Linked DNA regions of Medicago truncatula. The protein of the gene in region 1 interacts with the protein of each later gene in a pairwise test. Links are inferred from orthologs where the notes say so. Each region holds a gene or a part of one and is shown on either strand. Other genes may lie near its edges.

Region 1 (7,268 bases):
AAAGTACTTCAAAATAGGCTACACACAAACAACACAATTGTTATATACAATTTACAAACATATAACTCTTTTTTCTAAAGATACAAACATATAACTATAAGCTGTATTAAAAGAAATACCCATACCATACAAAACATGACATTGATAAATGTAGTCCCCAAGTATCGGGATCGATTCTCCCCCAAGTAAAACTGGAATTAAACCAGACAAATAATTGCCTCCAGAAAAACGGCATGGGCATAATCATGGCGCTAGTCCACAGTCTTGGTTTACATCAACACTATTAATGGCACTGATTCTGTACCTACCAGTACCAACCAACCAAGCTTTACCATAGCTGAAATCAAGTCCGAGTCGATTATACTACTGTATTAAATTGAGCAGTGCTGTATGCCAGAAGAGAACTAACACAGCTTGTAATGGACTAAAGGGGAAGCCGGCAAATCATGGAACAAAAGCTTAAACTAGCTTATGATGTCAGGCAATTATTTCCCTGACAAGCCAGTCTAAACTTGGATATGAGAAGTACAAGATGAGAAATGACGGGAGAGCAAAGAGAATTGTAACAAGTATATACAGAGCCAAAATGGCTGCACTGGCTGGTACTGCATACAAGATAATCAAAAGAAATATAATGATCAACGGGAACTTAGCTGTCAACTGGACAAAGAAAATCAATGACTTTCGAAGAGATATATGCACCCTTTCCATATCGAGGTGATTGCGGGTATTAGCCCGAGGCTGACTGGAGTTCGATGTATCTGGAGGGTGGACTTGCCCCCCCTGAAGATTTCCATGGTTTACTTGCCCTCCTAAGGTTAAATTACCTTTGCTTGCACACTGTTGTTGATTATCCCCACAGCAAGTTGAATGTGATTTTACTCGGTCACCATTCATGCCCTCAACCATCCAAAGAAGAAAGTAGTTCTTACGAGGGAATCTAAGATTTCCTCGATATACTAAACGAAATGATAGAAGGTTGCACCAAGGGCAGGAGATGAAAAGTGGAAGTTGAACCGGCAGCGTTGGAAATTTCACGGTAGCCCATTGTAGTCCCAAGATACAGTTTTTACAGAGTGTATGACCACACCACAAAACATAAGGCACATTTTCAACAATATTGAAAGATTCCCAGCATACTGGGCACTCAAGCCCTTCCTCTCTTCCTACGACAGAGGTCTCATCATCAGAACATTCTGAAGCAGAATGAGTTGGGTTTGACGAATCCTTTTTCAGCCCTACATTTCCAGCAATACAATTTGATGCGAAGTTCCACATTCTGAATCACAATAAGTTTATAATCAGTCAGAAGGTATCATTCAGTCCTCAATGTGATCAATTAATGACTGACTCAACACATAATGTATGAAAGAAGCAAATAGTACAGAACTACATAATAGTAACAAGGAACATCAACAACCAAAGCCTTTCCCAGCTAGTTGAGATCATCTACATGGATTAAACAACACCGAAACTTTCTGTCATGGATGACATATATAAATATTATAAATAAGCAGTTTATTTAAAGCTCTCTATTGATGGTTTTACTTTGACGTATAGTTTTCCTTGGTCTTCCTCTAACTATTTAAGTGTCCTTCATCTGGTCTACCCCCCTAGTCGATGTCTTTAACATGTTTAAGCCACCTAAGAGGTTACTTTACAATTTTCCCACGATGGGCGTTACCCCAACTTTCCCTCTCATGACTTCACTCCTAATTCTATTTTGTCTAGTGTGACAAAGAAAAACCTAAAACTAAAAGAAAATGCCACCATAACATCTTCACACTATCCATATTAGAGTGCCTACCATGCATGCTTTATCCTGCTTTTATTATAAATAAGACTATCAAGAATTTAGTAAGCTTTGCTGTAAAAAGTTCCTTCTAGTCCATAAAAGAATTGGCAAGCCACTATTTTAAAAAAATGCTAGAAATCAAAAACTATTAATAAAGTAGGGTATTTGGATTCCATTCAGTAACTGGGTGACGTGGTTATTGGTCCTAGGTGTCCCGACACAAATCAATAGTCAAAATTATTTAAACATGATTTGGTGACCGTGTAATGTGAGCCAGCTCATCTCAAATAGATGATCAGGATCAATTTAAGCGTGTAAGTGTAACTGTGTGTTTTTTAATGCAATGGATCCAAATCCTAATCACCAAGCTTGCACAAAATATTTTGTCAAGTTTATGAGCCAAGTAAGATTAACTTCTCAAGAAATGCTTACAGATATCACACGAACTTGGCAATCTCAATTTCTGCATAAAAATTTAAACTACCTTCTGCATCTCAATTTCAGTATGAACCAACTCATCTGGATAACATAACGTAACTAGACAGCTAAATTAACATCACAAGTCAATGTCATCACTTAGCAAATCAAACAAAAATGTCAGCTATCTACTTTTCTACCAGCTGAACAACTAGAATTTGAAAGATCCTGATCTAGACTAAAAAACTACTGCAACCATTTCGATATAACTAATCATAATGATCATCACATATCAAAATGTAAAAATCATATCATATAATTGAAAACAAGCTAAAAACACTTATTTGATAAACACATTTAATAACAGATTTCAGATTTTTCCTTCTTCAAAGATCACATCAAAGTTCAGTACTTTATTACCATACCCCCAATTCAAATAGTTCATCTTCAAAATCAACTTATCAAAATCAAGCTAAAGTTAAAACACCCATTAAAGAAATCATTCAGATCATAAGAAATAACACTTAAAAAACAATTTTTAGTGTAAAAAATGAACTGGGTCATTGAAAAACACCACAAAATTATAATCCCAAATTATATAATTTGAAGAAAAAAAAACTAGAAACCCTAATTAAAAGCAAAACAGATCAAAAGGGGGATTGGAATTTAGAATTAGAAGAGGAAGGTACCGATTGTGCGGAAAATTGGAGAAATTGTGGACTGACAGTGGCACGAGCAGAGAATCGTTGATTGATTTGGTTGGTACCACTCGATTCGATCGCAAAACAGAAACCCTATATCAAAACGATGTCGTTTTCATCACTCATCTAGCCCACTCTATCTTACACACCTATATGATGTCACTGTCGGTATCACCCGTCTTTCTTTACAGGGTTATTTATTTATTGAGTGGATCATCAACTTCATCCTTGAATTTATAACGACTAATCAAATTTGTCCTCTAATTTACATGTTGTGTTGCGTTGTGTTGCGTATCATTTTTAACTTTTGACTTTCAATTTTTTCATATTTTTCCTCTTTCACTCATTCCTATCATCCTCGCATTTCATTCAGAAACGTCAATGACTCTTCTCCTTCCCGCTAAAACCTTCACAATCTTCATTTCTCCAAAATCATCATCATCTTCATCGATCAACGTTGGAAAAGATATTGTTTGAAACGAAACGTAACGCCTATCTTGTTCGTTTTTCATTCACTCATGTTCATTTTCCCCCATTTTTGTGACTGTTTTCTTTATTTTCGTTTTCATTTTTTATCCATTCGTTTTCATGTTTAAACTTCATTTGATGCTTTCTTTGATGTTTTTTGTGACGGTTGTGTTTTTTAGAACATTTTTTATTATTCATTTTAGGGTTTTCAATTTAAGACTAAATTTTTTGATGATTTACTGGTTGGTTACTAAAATTGGTGAACATTAAGTAATTAAGGAAATTATTGGTTGATTAAAACAATTTCTACACATGGTATCTTTCCTATGCTGTAGAATTCTGATTTGCGTTCTGAAGTTGTTTTGTTTGTGATTATGACAAAGGTTGCCAAAATCTGTAGGATGGAAGAAAATATCACGCTAATTATGCATCACGGTGGGGGGTTTAGAGCGAGATGAGTATCGGAGGCAGCAATATGTTCTAGGTGAATTTTGTGTGTTGGGAAAAAATGGATGCAGGTGAGTTATGTTTGTGGGACATTGAGAAGATGGTGAAACATTGCAGAGTTACTTCAAGGTATCTAAAATTGTGATACTTGAAGTTGTATGAAGGTGTTGCTTCTAATCGCAATATCTGCTTGAATTCATTGACAATTGATAAACATGTTTTGGATATGGTGCAAGTTGCAATGGCTAATGGGATGAAGTGGAAATATATGCACAACATGTGGTGGATAATGATGAGGTTGAACTTGTACCATTATATTCTGAAGAGATGCAGGAGCTTGAGAGAGCTATGCAAGAGTCTCTGAGAAATGTAAGTATGGGGACAACTGAAGCTGATACAAGAGTTATGGAGGTTGATATATTAACTGATGAGTAAAGAAATGTGATAGACTGTTTGGTTGCAAGTGTGCAAAATAGAGTATATAATCAAGAGGAAAATGTTGAAGCTACTCAAGGAATGGATGAAACAGTTGTTAATGTAATGTTTGGTTAACCCTTGGATCATATCGGATAACTTACAACTATTTCATTCATCTAGTGAATTCTCAAATATATTGGGAACCAACTCCTTATGACAAACATGTGCCACCAAAGGTGAGACGTGTTGCAGGAAGACCAAAGAAGAACAAGAGAAAGGATGGCAATGAGGAGCATGTTTGTAGGAGTAACATGAAGAAGATTTACAATGACACTCAATGTGGCGGGTATGGATTGTTTGGTCATAACTCAAAAGGCTTTGTGAAGAAATGTGTGTTTAGGAGACCAAAAGACTGAATCAATACCGAGCCTGAAGAACCAAAAGAAGAAAATGCTGAAAATGATGAAAAGTTATTGCTAATGATGTTTTAGAAAATGTTGTTGCTCAAGAGGTGCAAGGAAATTATGCTTAGTTCAAAATGTTGTTGCAAATGAGGTAATTTCTGAACAGGTATGACTCTTGTTGTATAAGGATCAATTTCCTAGTAAGTGTAATAATTTAAGAATGATTTGATTGAAAATTTTATTGTGGAAAGTAAGTAGAAAGAGGTGTATATTGGTAACCGTTGAATTAATAAATTAGCCTCTTCCATATAAAAGAAAAAGAAAAAAAATATTTTCAATGATAATTTTTGTACGTAAATGATTCTTTAACAAAAAATTATAAATATCCATGGATGGGGGATCCTCTAAAAAAAATTCATGAATGTGAGATAGAAATATATATATTGGATCAAAATTGGTTTGTACAATTTCTCTAAAGTTTTGATGACAACAAAACATTAAATAACAATTGGATATTCTAATACATGTTCAAGTGTGCATGACCATATATTAAAATTTAACAAGTTTTGAACATGTATAAGAGCATAAAAAATACACAAGAAGCTGAAAGACTATGGTAGAAGATCTGAAGAAAGGTCAATCAAAAGTCAACACCTTGGATCAGAAGAATAGTTGTTACTCTAAAGCTGAAAATCCTCATCAGACTCTGAAGAACATCAGACTCGAAAAATCTTCAAACTCAGAAGTACATAAGATCTTGAGGGACCCAGACTCCACGTCAGATTTGTCCTCTTATGTAGTTGTCTCTATCAAAGTCTGATAGTAGAGTTTATCTTCTTCTAACCACATGTAGAAACAAACAAATAACTTCAAGGGCAAATAAAATGACCAGATAATTCCAGTTTTTGCAAAAGAATTTCAAATGTTTAATCAACGAAACTATCCATATCAGACAAAGGGTCAACGTTCTTGATTTGAAGCTTCTCAATAAGTCTTACTGCGCTGACATTCTACTCCAACGTCTCTCAAATCCTTGCCTATATAAAGAGTTGAAGACTTGAAGAACAGCAACAAGACTATGATATTAAGTGTAAGAACGAATCTTGTTTATTTGTAAACCTTTAGAAGTCTCTTGCATGTGTGCTTGAGCATAGGAAGTCTCTTTCAGTTGTGAATGAACATTGAAAGTATCTTGCTTGTATGCTTGTACATTTGGAAGTCTCTTGGAGGTGTCCTTGAGCAATTGTAATCCAGTGAGGTTATAGTGAAATCCCTTGGAAGTGCAATGAGACTAGATTACTCCTAGTTTGTAGGAGGAACCAATATAAATCTCTCTCCCCCCCTCTCTCTATCTCTATCTCTCTCCCTCTCTCCCTCTTTTTGTGTTTGATTTATCCGTTGCAAACAAACTTTAAGTTAGACTTTGATCAGTTTTGAAACACTTAGAAAAGTTTTTGAAAAAACCAATAGAATTCAATCTCCTTTCTTATGTTTTTCTCACCTTTAATATATTATTCTTACTCAATGAAGCGAGTAGCAAATGATTGTTATTTGTGCATGTGGATATCATTTGTTAAAATGGTGATCAAGTAAGTATACTCACTCAAAAACAAGTAGTAGTATATTGATACATAAATATCATCCCACTAGGGTTGTAGAAATTTTCATAAAACATGTGATCTAACATTTTTATTAACTAGTAATATATTCATGCTAAGAATGAGTTGTGCGTCGAAGCGCGTTTGTTTGTAAGTCACATTATTATGATATAATTAATTTTAATTTTTTTTTTTTTTTTATGAAACTTCAACCTTATTTTTGGAGGTAAGTTAAAATTATATCTTAATGATATAATTAGATGAAATGTCTCATTAAACCACATTTAATTTCTTCAAAACACAACAAAAAAAAAAAAGTTAGATCTTGAAGTTTTTAATTTCGTGCTAAAAAATGAAATTGAGAGACATATACATACTTTTCTAAGATGGTTTCAAACACACAACAACAGTTTAAAAATGAAACCAAACATGACAATATTGTCTTCAAGTTGTTACTTGAACTCTTCATTGGGTGGCGTTTAGTATGGGTAAGTGAAGTTTTTTCCCACCATGGGAGAGTTGATTATGTGCATTGGATCAAATGAAGAACACGGTACTATCATGGACTCTTAACATTAGATATTTTCACACTCTTCTCAATCCTCCATCCCCACTCTCCCCAACCGGAAACTGCTGATCAAACCAACCGTCCCAAAGCTTCCGACGGACCTCCGAAGCATTTCCACCATCTTATTGGACCTTCAGACACCTCCACTCACCGTCGTCCAGCTAAACCACTCTACCATGTGGCTTGCGTTTTCCAGATCCGCTTCTCGCACAGTTACCCTTTTATTTCGTTTGATCTATGTTTTTTTTTTACTCCAGGATCCATTTCCATGATTATTCTCATTTCTTCAGATCTATTTTCAATTTTCGTTTTTATGTTTTCTTAATTTATTTGATGATCCCTGTCTTTGAATTGGTGATTTCAATGTCATGTGTTTTAGTGCTTATGCGGATGAACTGTGAATGATGATGATGGCGGTGTCACCGATGTGAAAGAAACTAGTTTAATTGGTTC
Region 2 (5,727 bases), on another chromosome or scaffold:
TTGTTGATTTGGATAACAACATATTCGAGCGGAATAAGTTTACACTTGATCAATTAATCTGAATAAAAAGTTGCAATAGGATTTTTAGTCCAAAAAGTAATGTTTATCGTTACGAGAAGATGCATAGCAAATGTCTCGTGAATTTTTCTTCCTCGTGATGATAAGCATTACTCTTTGGACTAACCAATGAACACGTCGACATTCGCTAAATTTTGTAAAGGGTTTGCGATAAATAGCAGTGATCTTAGTCAAAATTAGCAATATTACATCATCCAATCTAGTTTTACATTGATGAAAATGACATATCATAAAAAAAATAAGTCACAAACTTTGTGTTGGGGGCCTAAAATCCAAAATTTATTATTTCACATCGTGAGTGTGAGTGAATGAAGAATCAACATGCTCTTAGTTTAGTGTTTGAGCTAATTCGTTAGACTTTTTTTAACCCAAAAATAAAGCTAATTCTACATAAATAGATGATAAAATGGCCGTCTCTATTTATATTCTTTTGAGAAAAAAAAAATCCTCAAATCAAAAGCTATCATCTCTAGTCTCTACCCAAAATTAAATTTTATTATGAAAAAAAATAAAGAAAGATGTAATTAATAATTTCAATCCCTCAACACTAGTTAATACAAATTCACAAGTCAATCTTAAAAAAGTAACAAGATAAATAAAAACTACTAAGATAATGATAATTATATTGAAGAAAAAAAAGATTAAACTAACTAAAGAAATATAGCCTCTGATCATTATTATAGGCAAAAATTTACATTTTAGATTCATTCAATTAATAATGTAATAGATCACATACATCATTTAATAAATAAATCTAAAATGCAAACTTTTACTTATAGTAATTATAGAGTTGAATTAGAGTACATAAAGATACACATTACACAATCAGTTGTTTCACTCTCAACCATCGATCTGGATCGGACGGCTGATAGCTATAATCCTTCTGATGTATATCTTGGGACACTAATCGGCCTTGTAGTTGTTGTGAAGATCCAGCTGCGATTCATGGTCACCAGCAACGTAATCAAGAAGACCCTTATGAATTGAAGCATCAGTTTGAGGTAAAGGAGAAGTTTTTGCAAAGACAAAGACAAGGGCAAGAACAAGTGCTGTGGAGAGAAAGAGTGGCCAAAAATAGGTGAAAAGGGTCACCAATTTAGGAGCCATAGCTATGAGAGAAAAGAGTGTTATGCATAAAAGTAGTGCTGCTATGATATGGTATCTTAGTTTTAGAAGCTTTTCTGGGATCTTCATTAGTGAAAGTGAGTGTGAGGTATAACACTGGTTGAGTTTGAGTTGAGGTTGTTGTGTCACTTGTGTCTTGTGGTGTGTGTTTGTTTTTCTGTGTTTAGATTTACTAGATTAGATTCTCACTCACTCACTAACTGTTCTTTTCTTTAGATTTCCACTTTCAACTTTCCATTTCCACCGTTTTAAGTATTTTTTTATTTATTTTATTATTATCTCAAATGGTTCGGAATTAAAATAGCATTTTGCTTTCGATTCACGTGTCTAGAATACTTTATACTCCTTCCGATCCTATTTACAATAAACAATTTACTTTTTAAATACATTAAATAATTTATGTATTTGGTTCAGGTTCTTGACTAAATACGTACATTATTCAATGTATCTAAAAAGTCAACTTTCTCTTGTAAATAGGACCGAAGGGAGTAGCTTTGAAGCACGGACACCTCTAGGACTAGGCATGTCACGGTGTCTAACACGTATCAGTGTCCAACACTTTTATGATACTCGTGTGACACGTGTCAGACAAGTGTTTTAAATACAATTATTTTTCCTTTACTCGGACACTCCTTTGACCGGTGTCCAACACCTATATAACACCCATAGTCATATGAGAAGTGTCGAACAACTCAGACATTTTTCTGAATCATGTTTTCTCCCTCTTTCTTCCACAAACCATAGATACAAGAGAATATGTGTTGAGAAATCTTAGATCAATGAGGGGTTATAGACATCAAAGTCACTTACGGTGTTTTTAGCTTTTTCGATAGAAGATGGATAAATAAAGGTCAAATGTCATCTTATTTTGTTTTAGAATTTTTTTTAATTAAATAATTTGCTCAAATTAGATGAACATGTATGTTTTTTTTATTCTCAATTTGGATCTTTTATAAATAAATTAATATATATGTAGCGGTGTCGGTGTCCTATTTTTTTACATTAGCGGTGTCTAATTGTCCGTGTCAGATATTCGTGTCAAAGTTCGTGCTTCGTACCTTTATAGTTTATACTAGTGCAGAGTTTCTATAAAATAATACAAATTGGTGTTTAAATAATAATGATGTTGATCAAACAAAATAATTAGGTTGTGTTTAATGAACTCCACCAAACGATGAATTATTCAAAAAAAATCTGAATTTGGTTTTATGGGTGGATCACTTCTTGACCAATTTTACTTACTTCTAAGTCGAACTTTAAATAATCAGATTATCAAGGCCTTTTTTTCTAGACTCAACATTAAAAAAAAAATGTAAATTTAAGGAAAATGTCTACACAAAATATCATTGGAGTCCGGTGTTTTAACCTAAGATAGATGAGAGAGAGAGAAAAAAATTATATGACAAATATAATAGATTGATAATGTGATAGAAAAAAAAGGTAGAGATAAAATGCGGTGGGAAAAAAATATCTAAATATCATTGTTGTAAAGTTGTTGAATTTCAACGAGTAATCGAGAAAACCTAAGTTTGATCAATGATAGGGATGTACACGGTTAGAATTGGTTTTGACCAAACACATTACTCGAACCAATCAATTTTTTTATTTTATTTTTTTATAAAAACCAAAAAATTACTACTATTTTTTCTTTGGGTAGTGTTAACTTGCGCCCTTAGGGCACATGTTAAGAAATCTAAAAAATAGAATTATTCCCTTAAATTTTGTGCATTTAATTCTTTAAACATTAAAAATTAAATTTAATGTACACATTCCAATACATTATTTCTATTTTTGACTTCTAAATTTATGCTTTAAAGCAGAAGTTAACATTTCTCTTTTTTTTTTATATATTAAAATCACATGATTTCTTAAAAATAAAAATAAAAAAATCATATGATCAAAGTAATAGGAATGCTAGGATCAAAATGTTACAAAGTTAACAATTCCACCAAATGATAAAAAGTTGGTTTGAGTCGTATGGAGTTAGAAGACATAACTTTTTATAAAAATAAATAAATATATTATATAATTAAATATTTTTTTTTCATGAAAATTCAAACAGATACACTGAATTCTTTAATTTAGAATTTCTTGAATTTAATTGAAATACTTCTAAATCAACAAATAATTCTTTTAACCAGATGGATCAGTAGGTTTTCGAGTTTTGAATCATCAGTTTGTTATCCAAATCAAAACACTTCAGGTTTAAGGGGGGTTAGCTTGAGTTTGACCCAAACTTGAACAAGTTTAAGTCAATTACCGATTGATTTGAGTTACTAGGTTGAACATGTCATCTAAGAACGTGAACACCCCTAGTCACTAGTTACAAGTCAAAATAATATTTTCTTTAATTGGCCACCTTGTGTGAATACAGGATCAGGACTAGCATATCATCTGGGGCACCATGATATCACTTATGTGGATGTGCTGACGCTTCCTCTTGTCCAGCCTCCTCATGTTGGGGCTCATGTAGTGACTCTGTTGCCTCAGGCTCAACCTCGGGGACATGACGAGGCTCGAGCTCGTAAGACACTTTGAATCTGTCATGTCTAGTCTTCCTTGTATACTCATGTCTAATCGAGACAATCATGCTCAATGTGTTTCCTCTAACTAGTGGCGGAGCGTTTCATGGGCTAGGTGGGTGACTCGCCTAAAAAATATTAAAAAATTAACGATCATATGTCTACTTTGCGATATTTTATACAATTTAGTGTCAGTTTTAGATTTTGGTTGATCCAAATTTCTGCAAAGTGGTGTAGTGGCCCACCCGAAAAATTTAAATAATTCAATTGTAGGTATATTTTACGAGTCTTTAAACAATTTTTCAATGGTTATAGTATTTCATGGTATCAAAAGTGGCATACGTGATTTTTGTGATGCTTATACTTGACATATAGTCATGTCAACTGAAAATTCTCTCAGTTAACGGTTGTAATGTACAAAAAAAGTTTAATAATTTATAGTATTTGTTAAATACGTAATTTTATAAATATCTACCCTAACATTTTAGTCAAACTCCGTCATTTCAACTTCATACTTAATGTTTATTACAATTTTAATTTGTGTTTATATATTATAATTAATTTTAGTGGCCCGCCTGAGTTTTTTTTCTGACTTCGCCACTGCCTCTAACGTGATCGGATGTGCGTCTATGGCCCCGTTTGGATAAACAGCTTATATAGATGCTTATAACATTAGAGCTTACAACATAAGTTCTTATACTTGATAAGCTCTTTATGTTTGGATATGTACAGTAAAAAGTATTTACTTAAATTGAAGTGTTTGGATGAGCTATTACATAAGCAATTATAAAAATTTTAAATATGTTTAATTTAACAAAAAAATAAAAATAAAGAATCAAACAACAATTATCGAGAATTTTTTTACAAAATTAATCTAAGATATAAAAAATCTTAAGAAATTATGATGGTAGAACTTGAATGGATGTACCATTAGCGTACATGTTTGTTAAAAAAAAAGAGGACAAGTTATTTTTTTTTTTTGAAGGAAGGATAATTTATGTTTGTTATTATTATTTTTAATGATGTTGTTACTCAATAAAGATAAGCTTATACCTATCTTTCTCTCCAATATAATATTAAAATATAGCTTTGGAAAGAATTGGAACGAAGGAGGTCACGTTAATTCCATAAGCTCCATAATAAGCCTTGTGTTAAGCTAAAAAATTGAACTTATTAAAATACAATATAAGCAGCTTATAAAAATATGATAAGCTATTTTTATTAATTTACCTAAACACCAAAACGTTCATAAATACATAGACAAATCAAAATGATAAACGAAATTTTAATAAATATCTAAGAAGTAACTTTTGAAACACATCTTTCCTCTGTTTTTTTTTTGTTTTTGAATAACAAATATTTAGAACGAGAAAATAGAGATTAGGATCATCTCCATCTATTATACACTTCCAATGCAGGATGATCTTCAAGACACTAATTTCAAAATTATATCTTGTTAATAAAAAAAACTAATTTCAAAATTAAACTCGTACAAAAAATGGTAGTACTTTGAAAATTCGTAGGAGAAGAAGTATAAAAGAAGAAAAAATAAGGGTGCAAATAGAAACTTTCTATTTGTTTATTAGTAACAACTAACAAGCCCAAAGCATGAAAGCTCGAAAAAATGGCGCCTGTGGCAGCGAGAAACGCCGGCGCTGTTGGTGTCGGAACTGCCATCTTCGTCTCCCTCGTCGTTGCATATTTCTTCTGCGACCGTCTCTGCAATCCATCTAAGAAGAAGAAGAAGAAGAAATCAAAGAATGGAATCATTGACGCCATTGGTAACACTCCTTTGATTAGAATCAATAGTCTCTCTGATGCCACTGGTTGCGAAGTAATTAATCCCTTATTCAATTTTCATTTTTTCGTTCTGTTACACTAATTTTTGTAGTATTGTTTATAACTCTGTTATTTATTGTTTAGATTCTTGGCAAGTGTGAGTTTTTGAATCCTGGAGGGAGTGTTAAAGATCGTGTTGCAGTTCAAATTATTGAAGAGGTAA

The links.
Region 2: the proteins of uncharacterized protein (region 1) and uncharacterized protein interact in a two-hybrid assay, tested with the Arabidopsis thaliana proteins (2 studies listed by BioGRID, with this or other methods). The link is inferred for Medicago truncatula from reciprocal best matches to the Arabidopsis thaliana genes AT3G29270 and AT3G13175.

Annotation. Positions count from the first base shown.
Region 1 is NC_053047.1:4,249,618-4,256,885, reverse strand, and holds the start of uncharacterized protein, read right to left. Parts: upstream 3,097-7,268; 5' UTR 2,902-3,096; intron 1,280-2,901; 5' UTR 1,279-1,279; coding exon 478-1,278; 3' UTR 1-477.
Region 2 is NC_053046.1:43,006,068-43,011,794, forward strand, and holds uncharacterized protein, read right to left. Parts: upstream 1,418-5,727; 5' UTR 1,273-1,417; coding exon 982-1,272; 3' UTR 579-981; downstream 1-578. Other genes in the region: cysteine synthase 2, read left to right, coding at 5,350-5,559, 5,649-5,723.